Danio rerio: one gene and its partner. The protein of the gene in region 2 binds, or shares a complex with, the protein of the main gene of each other region. Links are inferred from orthologs where the notes say so. Each region holds a gene or a part of one and is shown on either strand. Other genes may lie near its edges.

Region 1 (7,297 bases), on a different chromosome or scaffold from region 2:
TACAGGTAAGTGATGTTAATAAATATATATTGTTAAAAAATTAAAGAAACATTGACTTTTGTCATTTCTTTGACTACTTTTATTTAAATTTTGGGTTAAGTGGGTATTAGTACACCACCTTTATTTAGGACTACACCACTGATCTTTACCATAAACATCAGTAATTTTCTCTAAACTATAAACTGTTATCCCAGTACTTCTGTGATATTTGACTGTTTGTAACATTATAATTAACTCAAAAGACTGAAGACTGAATCTCTTTCTTGATATTTGCATTTGTTAAACACAGATTTGAATGCAGCAATTCGAAGGAATAATAAACATGGAAATCACCATCGTTTACAATTTATGTTGCCTGGATGTTGAGATCCTGATCTTTTAATTAATCGTGCAGCTTGCACTGAATGCATTAATGTGACAAAACACCTTTAATAACCTAAGAAACCCACCATAACTTTTTGTCATGATTATATTTTACAGAAAAGCCTAAATGCTATCATTTTTGTGATTGAATAAGGTGATTTCTCTGTGATAATTACAATTTTAGGATTAATCTACGAAAATATATATGTATATTATTCCGTGGGTTACACGAGTTCTGAACCGTGGGTTGTGACCCATACAAATTACAGATCAACCGTTATCCATTACACACCTAAACTTAAGTTTTCAGCATTTTTCTAAATATCTTCTTTTGCTTTTAACAGAAGAAAGTTTTGTGACAAGTGAATGATGAGTAAATGATGACAGAATTTTCGTGTTGTGTGAACCATCCCTTTAAATGAATAAAGCCATTTTAAAATTGAATTAAAATGCAACAAAAGAAACAACTGTGAAAAAGGGTTGATATAGTTACCTAAATCTAAAACCTTAAAATTATCCACTGTTAATCTACAAGTTACTTAGAATCAATAAAATAACTAATTAATATTAACATAATAACTTTCCACATTAGTTAAGACCAAATAGATTAAAAAAATTACCAAAAGTCATAATTTAAAGTATTTCTGTTACAAGACAGGCTGAAAAACATGTGAAATCTAGATTAACCTCACTAGACGAACATTCAAGCGTCCACACAGCCACAACAAACCAATAAAAGCAGCCTAATGTGCCTGAATACAAAGCCACAGGTATCACTCCACTGACTTCATGCTTCCAGTGCATTTTCTGCGCAGGCTAATCTTTCACACCAACAATGTCATCCTCTTCTCTTAAAGTACTCTGGCTTTAGAAACTGGCGAGTAAAGGTTGATGCCTGGCCCAGATTCAATTGAGGTTTATTTAATATTTTTTACACTAAAGTTTTTTTTTTTTTTTTTTTTTACTGCTTTTGGAGGTCTGTTGTGATTACACGCTAGCAGAGTCAAATAGCTTTGGTGGTGTATTTACAGAACCGACAGAGCACAGCTGGAAAATACACAGCGTTATTATTAACAGAAAAACTGCACTCCACACACGGACGCACATTGGTTTTTCATGCTTTTAACTGTAGACTGTATATTTTGACAACCAACTCTACGCTCACAATAAAACATGCTTTTACTTTTTCAAAATACTTCATTCTGGATCATTTATAAGCCGTTATCCTCATGGGGTTCAAAAATTTTCATACAAGGTTAAAAAAGACTGGTATTGCTATACTTGTGGGGATGTGATGAATACCAAAAGCACACACACCTGTGTTGTTGTCCAGGAAGCGGATGGTGCGGTTCTCATGGGCTGTAATGGAGATGGGTTGGGACGGATGACTGACCACACGGTTAATCAGCTCGCTGCCTGCAGGAGACATGAACAAAAACAGTATTTTAGTATTACTGTGCAGTAGATGACAAATCCATTAGAAACTGTCTTCACAGCTTCATAGACCAGCAATCATATTCAAGTAACATTATGATGCAGGTCAGGAATTATTTCACGCATTACATCATATAATATTAGTTATATTTCTTCCTATATCTATTATTTTTATGTATATATATATATATATATATATATATATATATATATATATATATATATATATATATATATATATAATACAAATAACAAATTACACCTGCAAATAACACTACTCGTACAGCCTTCTCAACCTTCTGTATTACTCTGCCCACATAGAGTGACAGCATATCAATAAACTCACTACAGTTCGACAAATATTGCACCTGTTGGACAACATATTGTACTTTTGAGGCTTTTTTAGGCAAGAATGTAGTTGTTTAGATTGAATCTATGCAGTTTATCTATAGGGATAGCGACTGTTTTTTAAATATTTATAAATTCTGAGATTCAGTGAGTCGACATCCATCAGCCTGTCATACTGAGCACAGCAAAGACAATTGACATTCTGCCACAAGATGGCGACACAGACCACATAATACAGGAGTGTCCAAACTCTGTCCTGGAGGGACGGTGTCCAGCAGCTTTTAGCCTCAACTCATCTCAACACACCTGCAAGGATGTTTCTAAAAAGAGCTTGATTAGCTAGCCCAGGTGTGTCTGATAGGTGTTGGAACTAAACTTTGCAGGACACTGGCCCTCCAGGACCGAGATTGGACATGCCTGGCATAATAAGTGCTTAAGAAGAAAAGATTGGCGTATTTTCAAACTGAAAATACAGCAGATCAAATCATTTTAAAACAGGTAAGTGACATTCTAAGTCTATCTCTTTCTTTTGTATGTTGTAGTGCTGTATTTATACCATAGTAATCTAGTAGTGCTTGCGTTGCTTTGGCTTTTTCGGGGTTAATTATTCTGATCTGCAACAGAGATATACTGGAAAATTTCTGTAGAGTGATGGAATTTCATGCCGTTCAGCCTTATAATGTTAAAATGTGAGCAAAATCCCCTGTTTTGTCATCACTTTAGATATAACGCTAAGGAATCATTTAAGTCATAGCTGTAAAGTGACATTTGAAGTAGCACAGATTTCTGCTGTTCTGATGTCAGCTGCAGTTGCAAATGAATGGCAAAAGTAAATCCTCATACAAAAGGGTTTTTGATTTTTTTTTAATATGATTACGATTGTGCCGTCAAACTGTTCGATAAACACAATATCACACTCATAGCAGTGTGATTTGGCTGTACATTGTCTCCGGTGGGACATTAAGGCACTCTGCCCGTATGTCTCCCACCAGTGCTGATATACAGCCACATCGCACTGCTACTCATGTGATATTGCTCATATATATATATATACACATACACATGCATGTGTGTGTTTGTGGTGTGCACATGTAATAAGTCAATTCTAATAAATAATTCTAGAACATTTAAAAACAATGTCAACATTACTTTTAAATATTCAATTCTAATAAATAATTCTAGAACATTTAAAAACAATGTCAACATTATTTTTAATTATTCAAAGTTTAGGACATTTTTACATAATAATACCTATAACTATAAATACTATATAAAACTATTTTAACTCATCCTTATTTATTCTGTTAAGTAATGCTGATAATAATAATAATAATAATGATGATACATATGATAATAGTTGACATGCACATAAGTAATTTAAAATATTTCAGAAGGCTTATTTATGAGAATTACTTTGTGTACATTTTTGATTATAATATGTATAATATGATAGATTAATAAAAATAATTATATTTCTCACAACTAACATTTGATTTGCTTAAAGTTTTCATTAATTTTAGCCATTAACCTGGCAAACAGAAACAAAACAAAAATATGTACTGTTTATCTCGCAATAAAAGTGTAGTATGAATTATTCATTTGCATATAAACACACATATTACACAGATACACCCTTTACACATCTTTAAACTGCTAAAATGTAAAATGTAAATATAAATATAGCAAACTACATAGCAATCAATCTATTTGCATCCTTCTTTAAGGATCATATATGACAATCATTTAACAATATAACTGAACAATTCAATTAATTTATAAACAATTCTATTTTCCAAAGCCTTTCAAAACGTGTTTAACGCAGAGTAATATTTTTCTGGATGTCATTTCCAGTATGAACAGCCTTTTACCATCTTTAGTCTGAGTCTCCAGGACCATGATACTTTGCTCTGTGTTAAGGTCATAAAGCAGAGTCTCGCCCCCATCGAAAGACACCACGACCTGGGACGGGTCTGCATTTACAAAGGCAACCGAGGTGGGAGTGCCATGTTCTGGAAAAACAAAAAGTCAATTAGCCAAAAAAAACACACACACTTACAGTACAAACAAACAACACTCCTCACCTTTCTCCTTGTTGAAGACAGAAACACACGGGGAAGAATTATGAGGGTCCCAGATGCGCACTGTCCCATCGGCGGAGCAGGAGGCCAAACGCTGTAGGCTGGAGGAGAAGGCCAATCCCCAGACAGCGTCCTCGTGGCCTGACAAAACACTACTCTCCACACCAGGATCTGAAAATAAAACACTGTTACTGGATGTCCTGCGTATTGTATGTGTGTGAGGTTATTTCATTTACAAACAGTGCCCTCTGGAGGACTGCACAGAAACTCAAGCAAAAACCTCTGTCTTTTACAGTGACACTGTGAGAGATTTTATCAAACTCAGAATGTTATTGAAGTTTGCATATTTTGGATTGATTAATGAAACTTTGGTTTGTACACTTCTCAATATGGGCTAGTGTTTGTGAATGTTAAACTGCAAAAGGAGTTGTTAGACTATTTAAAAAGATTTTGACAAACATAGTAGAATTCTCTGTTTAATAATCACAATTTTACAGAAGTTTTAGCAGCAAGCCAGATAAAATAAATACATTAAAGATGTAAAAAGTAAAACAAACAGACTAAAAAATCTGTTTAAAATTGTAAAATCATAAATCCAAAACAAAAAAAAAGTTTCCATATATATTTTTGTGAAATTTGGGTTACTGCATAATTGAATTAAAGAAAAGAAAAATGAAAAAGCTGCGTGAAAATGCCAAAAGCTACAAAAAGTCTTATTTTGGGTAGTTTTTTTAGTAAATGGTGTAAATACATTTTTCTCTATGTATGCAAAATAAAAATAATGTTAAATACGCAGATAGATGGATGGATAGACAGACAGACAGACAGACAGACAGACATGCAGCATTAAGTAGACATGCCATAGTTGTCGTAAGGATCCACGTTGAGGTCTGGGATTTTCCATCCACGAATGGTGCCATCCAGACCCCCGCTGAAGCATGATTCTCCTTCCTCTCCCATAGCCAGAGAAAGAACAGCACCACTAAACCAAACCCAATCAAAAACAAAATGATACATAAAATTAAGAATCAATGTATACATTTTAATAGTTAACTTTTTTACTGAAAAAACTTTTTTACTCCTGAAATTCAACTCATAATTACACACACCTTTCATTTAGTCATGAACCTAACCATTTCAAAACTTTATGAAATTTAAAATATTTGTTCTGACAAAACATTACACATATTACTTATACATATTACTAAATACAGTTTCCACTCTTTCATGACACTAAATTCAAGGACTTTTTAAATCAATAATATTTTACATCAAGCACCTTTGTAATTCACACGCCCAGCATATATAGACTAGCACCATGAATGTCCTTCCTTTACTTAACATTTCACCTATATTTAATATTTGCATTAAAACGCTTGATGAAAAAGGTCAACATTTTAAAAAAATGGCATTAAAAACATCATCATTATTACATTTTAAAGTCATGTTCAAAGAACTTCAATATAATAAGTTGACTTTAATCCTGGCAATATTCAAATGTGGTTCCTAAAATATTGCTAAAATTCATTATTTGTCATAGTTCATGTATAAGATTGAAATATAAGTTTTTAAATAAATGATATTCTTAGCTTTTTTGTTCATTTTTTGAAAGTACCACAGGACAATTGTTGAAATAACACCATCAACTTTAAATTTAAACATTTTCAAGAATCTACGTTTGTTTTTAAGTAATTTCAAGGCTTTGAATCCGTATGTCTAAAAATCAAGCACTTCGAAAAACTTTTAAGAAATGTGGGAACCCTGTAAATATGTCCAAATAAATGTGATCTTCGGGTGTACTTTCTAATGATTATCAATAAAATTCACTCACAACTGTGTGACAAACATGGAAAGATTAAATCTACTTTAAGCAAAATTAAAACAAAATTAAATAAAAATAAACTTTCCCAGTGATGGGTTGCAGCTGGAAGGGCAACTGCTGCATAAAACATTTGCTGGATAAGTGGCCGGCTCATTCTGCTGTGGTGACCCCAGACTAATAAAGAGACTAAGCCGAAAAGAAAATATATGTATGAATGAAAATAAAATAACATCAAGCCTTTTGACACCTAAAAGGACCACATACGCAGGTCCAAAATGACTCAAACATAAAAGGTGTAACCTTAAAAAATGTAATAAAACATAACAAAAAATAAAATACACAAAACTAAACATAACAAAAAACAAGAGAGCAAAACAATAAATAAAATGACAACACAAGACAAAACAAAACATAAAATTTAACAAAAAAACTAAAACAAAAACTAGACAAGAACAAAACACTAAATGAAACACCATAAAATCAAGATTTTGTACATACATACGAATAATAACAATACAAAAATACAATACAAAGCAACAAAAAATAAAATGACATCACACACACAAAATAAATAAATAAAAAATATTAACTAAAAGCACAGCACAAAAATCAAGATTTTTGACACAGGACCCCATACATACCCCCTCCCCCCTTCAAAAAAATTACTCAAACATAAACTTTATAAAATCTTTAAATAATTATGCATAATGTATGCACGTATGTACGTACATATAAAAAAAACTGTTAAAATAAATGAAATAATGCTAAATAATTTAGGTAGGTCTGTACTAGAACTGCATAATATTGGAAAAATTAAACATTGTGATTTTTTTGTTTTGCTGCAACATATATTGTGATATGATTCTAATTTCAACAGATGATTTAAATAGCTATGTTTTGGAAGATTTCATTTATTTAGATCAACAGAGATGAGATCAAGTCTTTTTTATGAAGTGATATTATAATAAATTCCAATCAAAAATAAATAAATAAACTGCTTTATGGTTTTCTGAGGTGTCTAATGGTATTCAAGTACAAAAATCAAATGTCAAATAGCAGATCGTCAATGTATAAATAATTTAAAACAATATAATATTTAATAATATACTATTTTTTTAATAATAATATTAATATATATATATATATATATATATATATATATATATATATATATAATATTTAATTAAAATATTTAACAAATAATCTTGCAATGTGTGTATTGAAGACGCACACATTGCGATATCAATCATCA
Region 2 (7,297 bases):
TCATACCTCTAATTAGTAATTTAGAGTTGTCAAGTTTCAGAATGTAGTAAGTCGAGTTAACCTTCAATTTTTTTGGCATATTTACAAGGTTAATTTTTTTTGTCCGTTTTTCACAATTTTTTCTGATCATTCAGATGGCCTTGAAGAAGCTTTAATACATTAAATGTAAAAAGCAATATAAATCTAAAGCATTTCTGTCATTTTTTAAATCATAAAATGTGTTCGGGGATTGTTTTAGCCACCTCAAAAATGAAAATTCTGTCATTTACACACCTTTATGTTGGTAAAAAAACAAACAAACTGTATGTCGTTATCTAGAATGGATGATATTTTGAGAAATGTTTTATTGTTTTGTTTTTTATATACTATAAAAGCTAAAGGGATCTAATATTGTTTTGATTCTAATGTTCTTAAATATAATATAATATAATGTAATATAATATAATATAATATAATATAATATAATATAATATAATATAATATAATATAACATAACATAACATAATAATATAAAATAATAGAATAGAATAGAATATTTTTTTGAAAAATAAAGAAAAACATACTATTAAGAAATGACTTAAGGGTGAATTATTGACGCCAAATTAATAATTTTTAAGCAGACAATTGTATGAAATGTAAATGTGAAAGTAATTTTAGCAGTCTTACGAGTCAGATTCATCAGAACTGGACTCTGCTCTCGACTGTTCGGCTTTCCATCGCTTGTATTTGTCGATGAGCTCCGTCAGGTAGGATGTTTTCTTCGCAAAGCGCACAATGAGCTTGTGTTTGAGCAACTCTTTGGCTGTCGGTCTCTGAGGAAGAAGACAGAAAGACACAGAAACCATCACGACAGGTCCTATGAAACAAAACCTCATTGCTAATGCCTGATTCAACAGTACCTCAAGGATTTTAAAATGATCTTTTTTATTTTTATTTTTTAGTTTTGCAATACTTGCAGCAAATTTTACACCACTTCTATTATTGCTTTGAGGTGAAAATATATACAAACTTACTCCTCTTAATTTTTTGACCTCAAGAAAATTGATCTCTTTAATTTATATAAAGGAAAACTAGAGGTTACCCATAAATCCTGCTGTATCATATTTAAAAATGAAACCAGTTGTTTGAAGTGTCATCCATGTTGTTTGACCGATATGACAGTTGATGGAAATTATGCAGAGAATGCATGCTTATGTGTGTGTACGTGAGAGAGAAAAAGAGAGAGGGCTACGCTTATGACGATTATATACAATAAATAGAAGTTTATGAATCCGCTTTGCCATAACGTCACATGACGCAGATCACACATCAAAGGAAGAGTGTGTATGTGACAACTCAAGGCTTTACACAGCACACAAGCACATTGTGTTCGCAAATACTGTTTTCGTTTTCTTTTTGTACTTTTTTATTTATTGGTATTTAACAAGACCATGCACGGTGCAGAATACGAAATTATAGAGCGTCTTAGTTTAAACCGACTCTTACTTTCCCATAAAACTAGATATTATAATACATATACTTCAGAATAATTAAGAAATGACAGAAACCAATCATACCTTCCCACTACTATACAAAAAAAGAATTAAAACATTCACACAATTACTTCATGTTGTCCCAACACAAACCGATCAATTTAACTTAATTGATTAAACTAATTTAAGTGGATTGAACGTAAAAAAAATTAAGTTGTCCCCCAAAAAAAACTCAAGAATTGTGATGTTTCAGTTTGTTTTAAATAAGTTGTTTGAACAAGCAGCAAAATTTACTTTGTGTAACGTTTTTCAATGTACAACTATGCAGATTGCGCACTGTGGTGTGACAGGAATTCAAACACTGTGCTGACCGCTCAAAATAAGAGAAATCTACGACTATGTTGTGAAATTTTGTGACATTTTGCGTTAAATTCAGAATTCGCTGGGATCGCGAAATCCTGGAGGGTCTGTTTCAGGAACAAATATAGCACATGTCTAAATGAAAATGACCTCAGCAGCAAAAACAGAACAAATTGTTTTGCCAGAAAGATCAGTGAACGAGTTAAAAAGGATATGGAAAATGACCTCTGGGAGTCCCCAAAAAACATACTCACAAAACTGGGCTCTTTGTTTAGACAGGCCTCCACAAACTCTTTGAGCGGTTTGCAGTAGTTGCCCTCCAGTGTGGGGGGGTTGTTCTTTGGAATGAGGAACAGCACCTTCATTGGATGTAGGTCGGAGTGGGGGGGCTCTCCTTTAGCCAGCTCAATCGCCGTGATGCCCAATGACCAAATATCAGCCTGAGAACAAACACAACGTTTTCATGACCAGGGCCCGGATGCATGTTAAAGACCCCATGAAATAAAAAAAAGTTGTTTTTTTAGGTGTTAGTATTAGTATTGCTAGTTTTTAGGATATCTATAAGCTAGTGCGCAGTTAATCAGTGACAAAATTCGTGTTTAGAAGATACAAAACTGACATATACATGTAAAGCTTGTAGTTCGTCACTTCTGCCTAAATGAATCAACGGATTTATTCATGTTACCTCATACTTTAGTTTCTTATTAAATCTTGACCAATCAAATGATCTCTAGTATCTGACATGCCCCGCCCCCTTCAAGACGCTTCTCATTTGCTTTTCATTTGATCAGCTTGATCCCAACCACTTTCACTGGCAGCGCTGTGATGAAAACAAAATGCTATTGGCTGTTTTTTTTTATAAAAGGGAGGAGCTACCCCATGTCTCAGTCCCACCCTCTCTCTTTATGTGTCAGTTGAGATTACATCAAACATCGAATAAAATTGCACATTTTAAAGCACTTCACGGGTTCTCTAAGGACTTTCATGCAACCAGACCCAGTCCACTTCCAAGTCACTTGATGAAATCACATCACAATGATTCACTTGGGGAAAAATCTAACAAGTAGTCACGATCAACAGCAGATCCAGACGTCTGGTGCAGTGACTGATCTGCAGCACAGCCCTTGACTTTTGTTCAGTGGCTCTCACCTTTGAATCATAAGCGGACTGTTTGATGACCTCAGGTGCCATCCAGAAGGGTGTGCCCACGAAAGTGTTCCGCTTGATCTGTGTGTCCGTGAGCTGACCGGCCACACCGAAATCTGCCAGCTTCACCTCCCCTTGCTCCGACAATAATACATTTGCGGCTAAAAAAAAGAAATGAGAAAAGACAGTGTGAGGGAGAGTGTATGATAACTTCAGAAATGCAACATTTATGTCAAACTGGGGCCCCAAATGGGGTGCATAGAAAATAGGGGTGTAACGGATCACGGTTTATCACTGTTTGTTTAGCCTGCAATTATGCATTCAGTGTAAAGCTGCAAGATTAAACATTTAAAGATCGTGATCTCAATTCAACCCCACGCAACATGTATGATAAATGGTGATGATTTGCATGTTTGTTCCTTCGAAAGGGCTGCATTCAAATCTGTGTTTGATCGAGAGAGATACTGTTCTTACCCTTTTTCAGTTCGTTACAAAATTAAATAACACAATAGTACTGAGAGAACAGTTTATAGTTCAGATATAAACACACTGATGTTTATGGTAAAGATAAAAATCACAGTTTGATGGAACTTGACGCTAGTGAATGTTGTAGCAATTACACTCTGTTACCACCGGGTGGCGATAAACAACCTTTAAAACTATAGCACTGAATAGGTTTCCAAAAATGATAACCTGCATATGGCTATTTATTTAAATGGATAACATCGTATGTTATCAACTTATTGTATTATTGTACACATTTGCTTTACTAAAAAAAATGTAATATATTTTTATGTCGTTTTAATTTGATGTTTTTCCCTTCACAGTATTAATCATTTAAAAAAATTACAACTGTAAAGTTGTAAAATCTGATACATGCAAATAATACAGCCACTAGGGATGTAACGATTCATTGTGAGCAGGTTAAAAATTTATTCAAATATGGGACGATTGAAACCGGTTAAAATGTTAAAAGAATCGCAATACATATTTGAACATAGGGGGCGCTGTGTTATAATATAATATAAATGGAAAGCAAATGACATTTGTCCCTTTTTTTGCTGATCCGAAAAATGGTTCAATCAGTGACTCAAAAACCGTAGTGTAAATAAAATTAAATAATTGGTGATTCAAACCAGTAGAAATGTTGAACAAATCGCGATACATTTTTTCTAACAGAGGGGGCACTTTGTTATAATATAATATAAATGGAAAGCAAATGACATTTCTTCAACTTAGAATTATAAGGTTCTATCTGCGTTCTGAATGATTTTGAGATATTGAGCTTCAAAGTTTTTGCATTTCATAGCAAACAGTAAGTGTGTAACATTGTTTTTTTTAAATTAAAAAATGTTCAAATGTAAACAACTTATTTACATTATGGGATGTTTTTTTATAAGAATATGTCAATAACTCAATTTTGTTAAAAATGTCAGATAGAGCCTTATAATTCTAAGGTGACTATTTGGGTCTCTAAACCGAAAACAATTCAGTGACTCAAAATCCGCAGTGTAAATCGATTTAAATATGCAACGATTTAAACCGGAAATGTTGAACGAATCGTGATACATTTTTTGAAGAGAGGGGGCGCTGTGTTAAAATATAATATAAATGGAAAGCAAATGACGTGTGTCTGCTTTTTTGCTGAACCGAAAAATAGTATGATTCATAACTCAAAAAACGTAATGTAAATAGATTTAAATATGTGACAATTCAAACCGATAGAAATGTTGAACGAATCCCAATACATTTTTTAAACAGAGGGGGCGCTGTGTTATAATATAAATGGAAAGCAAATGACATGTGTGTCTCCTTTTATGCTGAACTGAAAAATAGTCCAATACATGGCTCGAAAACCGTAGTGTAAATCGATTTAAATATGTGACAATTCAAAACGGTAGAAATGTTGAACAGGAAAATTTAAACCCTAGTCCCATGCACATACACTGTAGAAAGAAAAAGAGGAAGACAAACACTGTAGCAATTTCCAGTTGAATCATGTCACGAAGACGCTGTGCTCTGAAGTGTGAGGGAAAGTTTCTCTACCCAAAGATGAGGCTGTGAAAAGTGAGTGGCTGAAGATTATTTTTGCAAGAATACCTCAGCATTATAGCCCCAGCCCTGTGCATTTTTCTAACGAGTGCTTTAGCAGTCTACACCCTTACAACGGGGGATTCATCAGCCGTTGGTTAAAGGAAGGATCCGAAAAGACTATTGATGTGTGGGACTTTGTCAGAGCTTGAAAGGAACTTTACAGTACACAGTTCATGGATCGGTTTCTTTTTTTTTTTTTTCAGATTGTTGGTTTAGTGTTTCAACTTTCAAGATTCATTTGTGTTTGTTTGTTTTCTCTCTAGTTCTTACTGTGATTCATGACACTATATTGTGTAATAGTTCTAAGGTATGTGACCAATAAATGAATCGTGAACCATCAGTAAAAGAGTCAATCATCTTTTAACCAGGATACTACAGTACACATTTGCTTTACTAATATATATATATATATATATATATATATATATATATATATATATATATATATATATATATATATATATATATATATATATATATATATATATATAAATAAAATATATATATATATATATATATATATATATATATATATATATATATAAAATAAATAAATATATATATATATATATAAATAAATATATATATATATATATATATATATATATATATATATATAAATAAATATATATATATATATATATAAATAAATATATATATATATATATATATATATATATATATATATATATATGAATGAATGAATAAATGAATGAATGAATGAATGAATATATATATATATATATATATATATATATATATATATATATATATATATATATATATATTTATATATATATATTAGTAAAGCAAATGTGTACTGTAGTATCCTGGTTAAAAGATGATTGACTCTTTTACTGATGGTTCACGATTTTACGAACTTTACATTTTAAAATCTGATATATGCAAATAATAAAGTCACATAACAGATTACAAACAAATCATAGAAGCTGAATAACACCAAGGCAAATATCTGGTGTCAAAATATGTCTGAATAAATTAAATCTTCTTCTGTCTATCTGGACCAACAAACATTCAAGTCACAGCAGATATGTGCTTTTTCATTGGACTCTGAATAAAACTGACCGACCAGTAAGATTTGGTTGCACAGATCTGCTAATGTTACATAAAACCGCAACTTCAAAGTGCTCCATTTTGCTAAGCGACAGTAAACGGCAGTGGAAGAATCCATAATTGGCTCTCATCTCTGTGCTCTTGCATTTCCCGTTATTTGATCACGGTGAAATTAAATAAAATCTGAACGGCTGTATGAAAAGATGTAAATACTGTTAGTGCTCATTTCTAAACGATGCAGGTGACAGATCTGACTGTTGAACAGTACTTTGTGTAGCACAGAATCTAGCATAACAGCTGTATTTATTATGTAGTTTTTTACGCGTTGTTATAAGTAAACTAATCAAGTGCAAACTGGATATCATTCTTATGTTGAACAAGTGTTTGTAAACATGTCTCAATAACCTTGCTATCAAAATCTAAAAAATGCTCTAAAGTAGCTTTATTATGCTTTGTAAACCTTCAGCTTCCTATGAGCTTGAAAAGGTTACAAAGCATATCACAATGTCCACTCTAAACTGGGCTTACTTTTACATGTGAACCATGCTAGCAAAATGAGCAGAAAACATGCCGACTATAAGCTAAGATCAAAATAAAAAAAATATGTCAACTGTGGTAGTTGTTTTTACAAAAAAAATAAAAATAACTAAGCCCCTATAAAATCCTTTATATTTGCACGTCTTCTGACAGTGTGCAACATGCACTTTTGAATAAATTAAGCATCACAGTCTGGTTCTTGTTCAAACACTAAAAATAAACATGAGAAATCTACACAAATTTATGGAATTCACTAGATGTTTTGAGAAAATTTTTACTGCATAAGTTCATTAAAAACAATCTGAATTTGAAGCGCATCACATACAGATGGCTAAATTCTGAACCCACTACTACGGTAGACGGGAAGTGCAAAACAACATTACAAAGTGTGAAACACTTTTACAAAGCTCGAGACAAATTTACATTTTGAAAAACGTTTTACCTATCATCAGACACAATTACATAGGAAAAACAATTTTACCAAGGATGAAACAAATTTACATTTTAGAAAAAAAAATTAACAAGACGCAAAACAATTTTACAAGTCTCAAAACAAATTTACAATTACAGATTCCTTACGCAAAGGGAATGTACCACACAGCGGAAGTGGCGTA

Evidence for each region.
Region 1: stk24b (region 2) and strn4 share a complex: the UniProt entries of both Homo sapiens proteins name them as parts of the core of STRIPAK complex. The link is inferred for Danio rerio from reciprocal best matches to the Homo sapiens genes STK24 and STRN4.

Annotation. Positions count from the first base shown.
Region 1 is NC_133190.1:13,788,567-13,795,863, reverse strand, and holds part of strn4 (striatin-4), read right to left. Parts: intron 5,206-7,297; coding exon 5,084-5,205; intron 4,395-5,083; coding exon 4,227-4,394; intron 4,155-4,226; coding exon 4,014-4,154; intron 1,780-4,013; coding exon 1,681-1,779; intron 1-1,680. UniProt on the Homo sapiens protein: Calmodulin-binding scaffolding protein which is the center of the striatin-interacting phosphatase and kinase (STRIPAK) complexes.
Region 2 is NC_133181.1:13,497,239-13,504,535, reverse strand, and holds part of stk24b (serine/threonine-protein kinase 24), read right to left. Parts: intron 3,140-7,297; coding exon 2,982-3,139; intron 2,273-2,981; coding exon 2,087-2,272; intron 813-2,086; coding exon 667-812; intron 1-666. UniProt on the Homo sapiens protein: Serine/threonine-protein kinase that acts on both serine and threonine residues and promotes apoptosis in response to stress stimuli and caspase activation.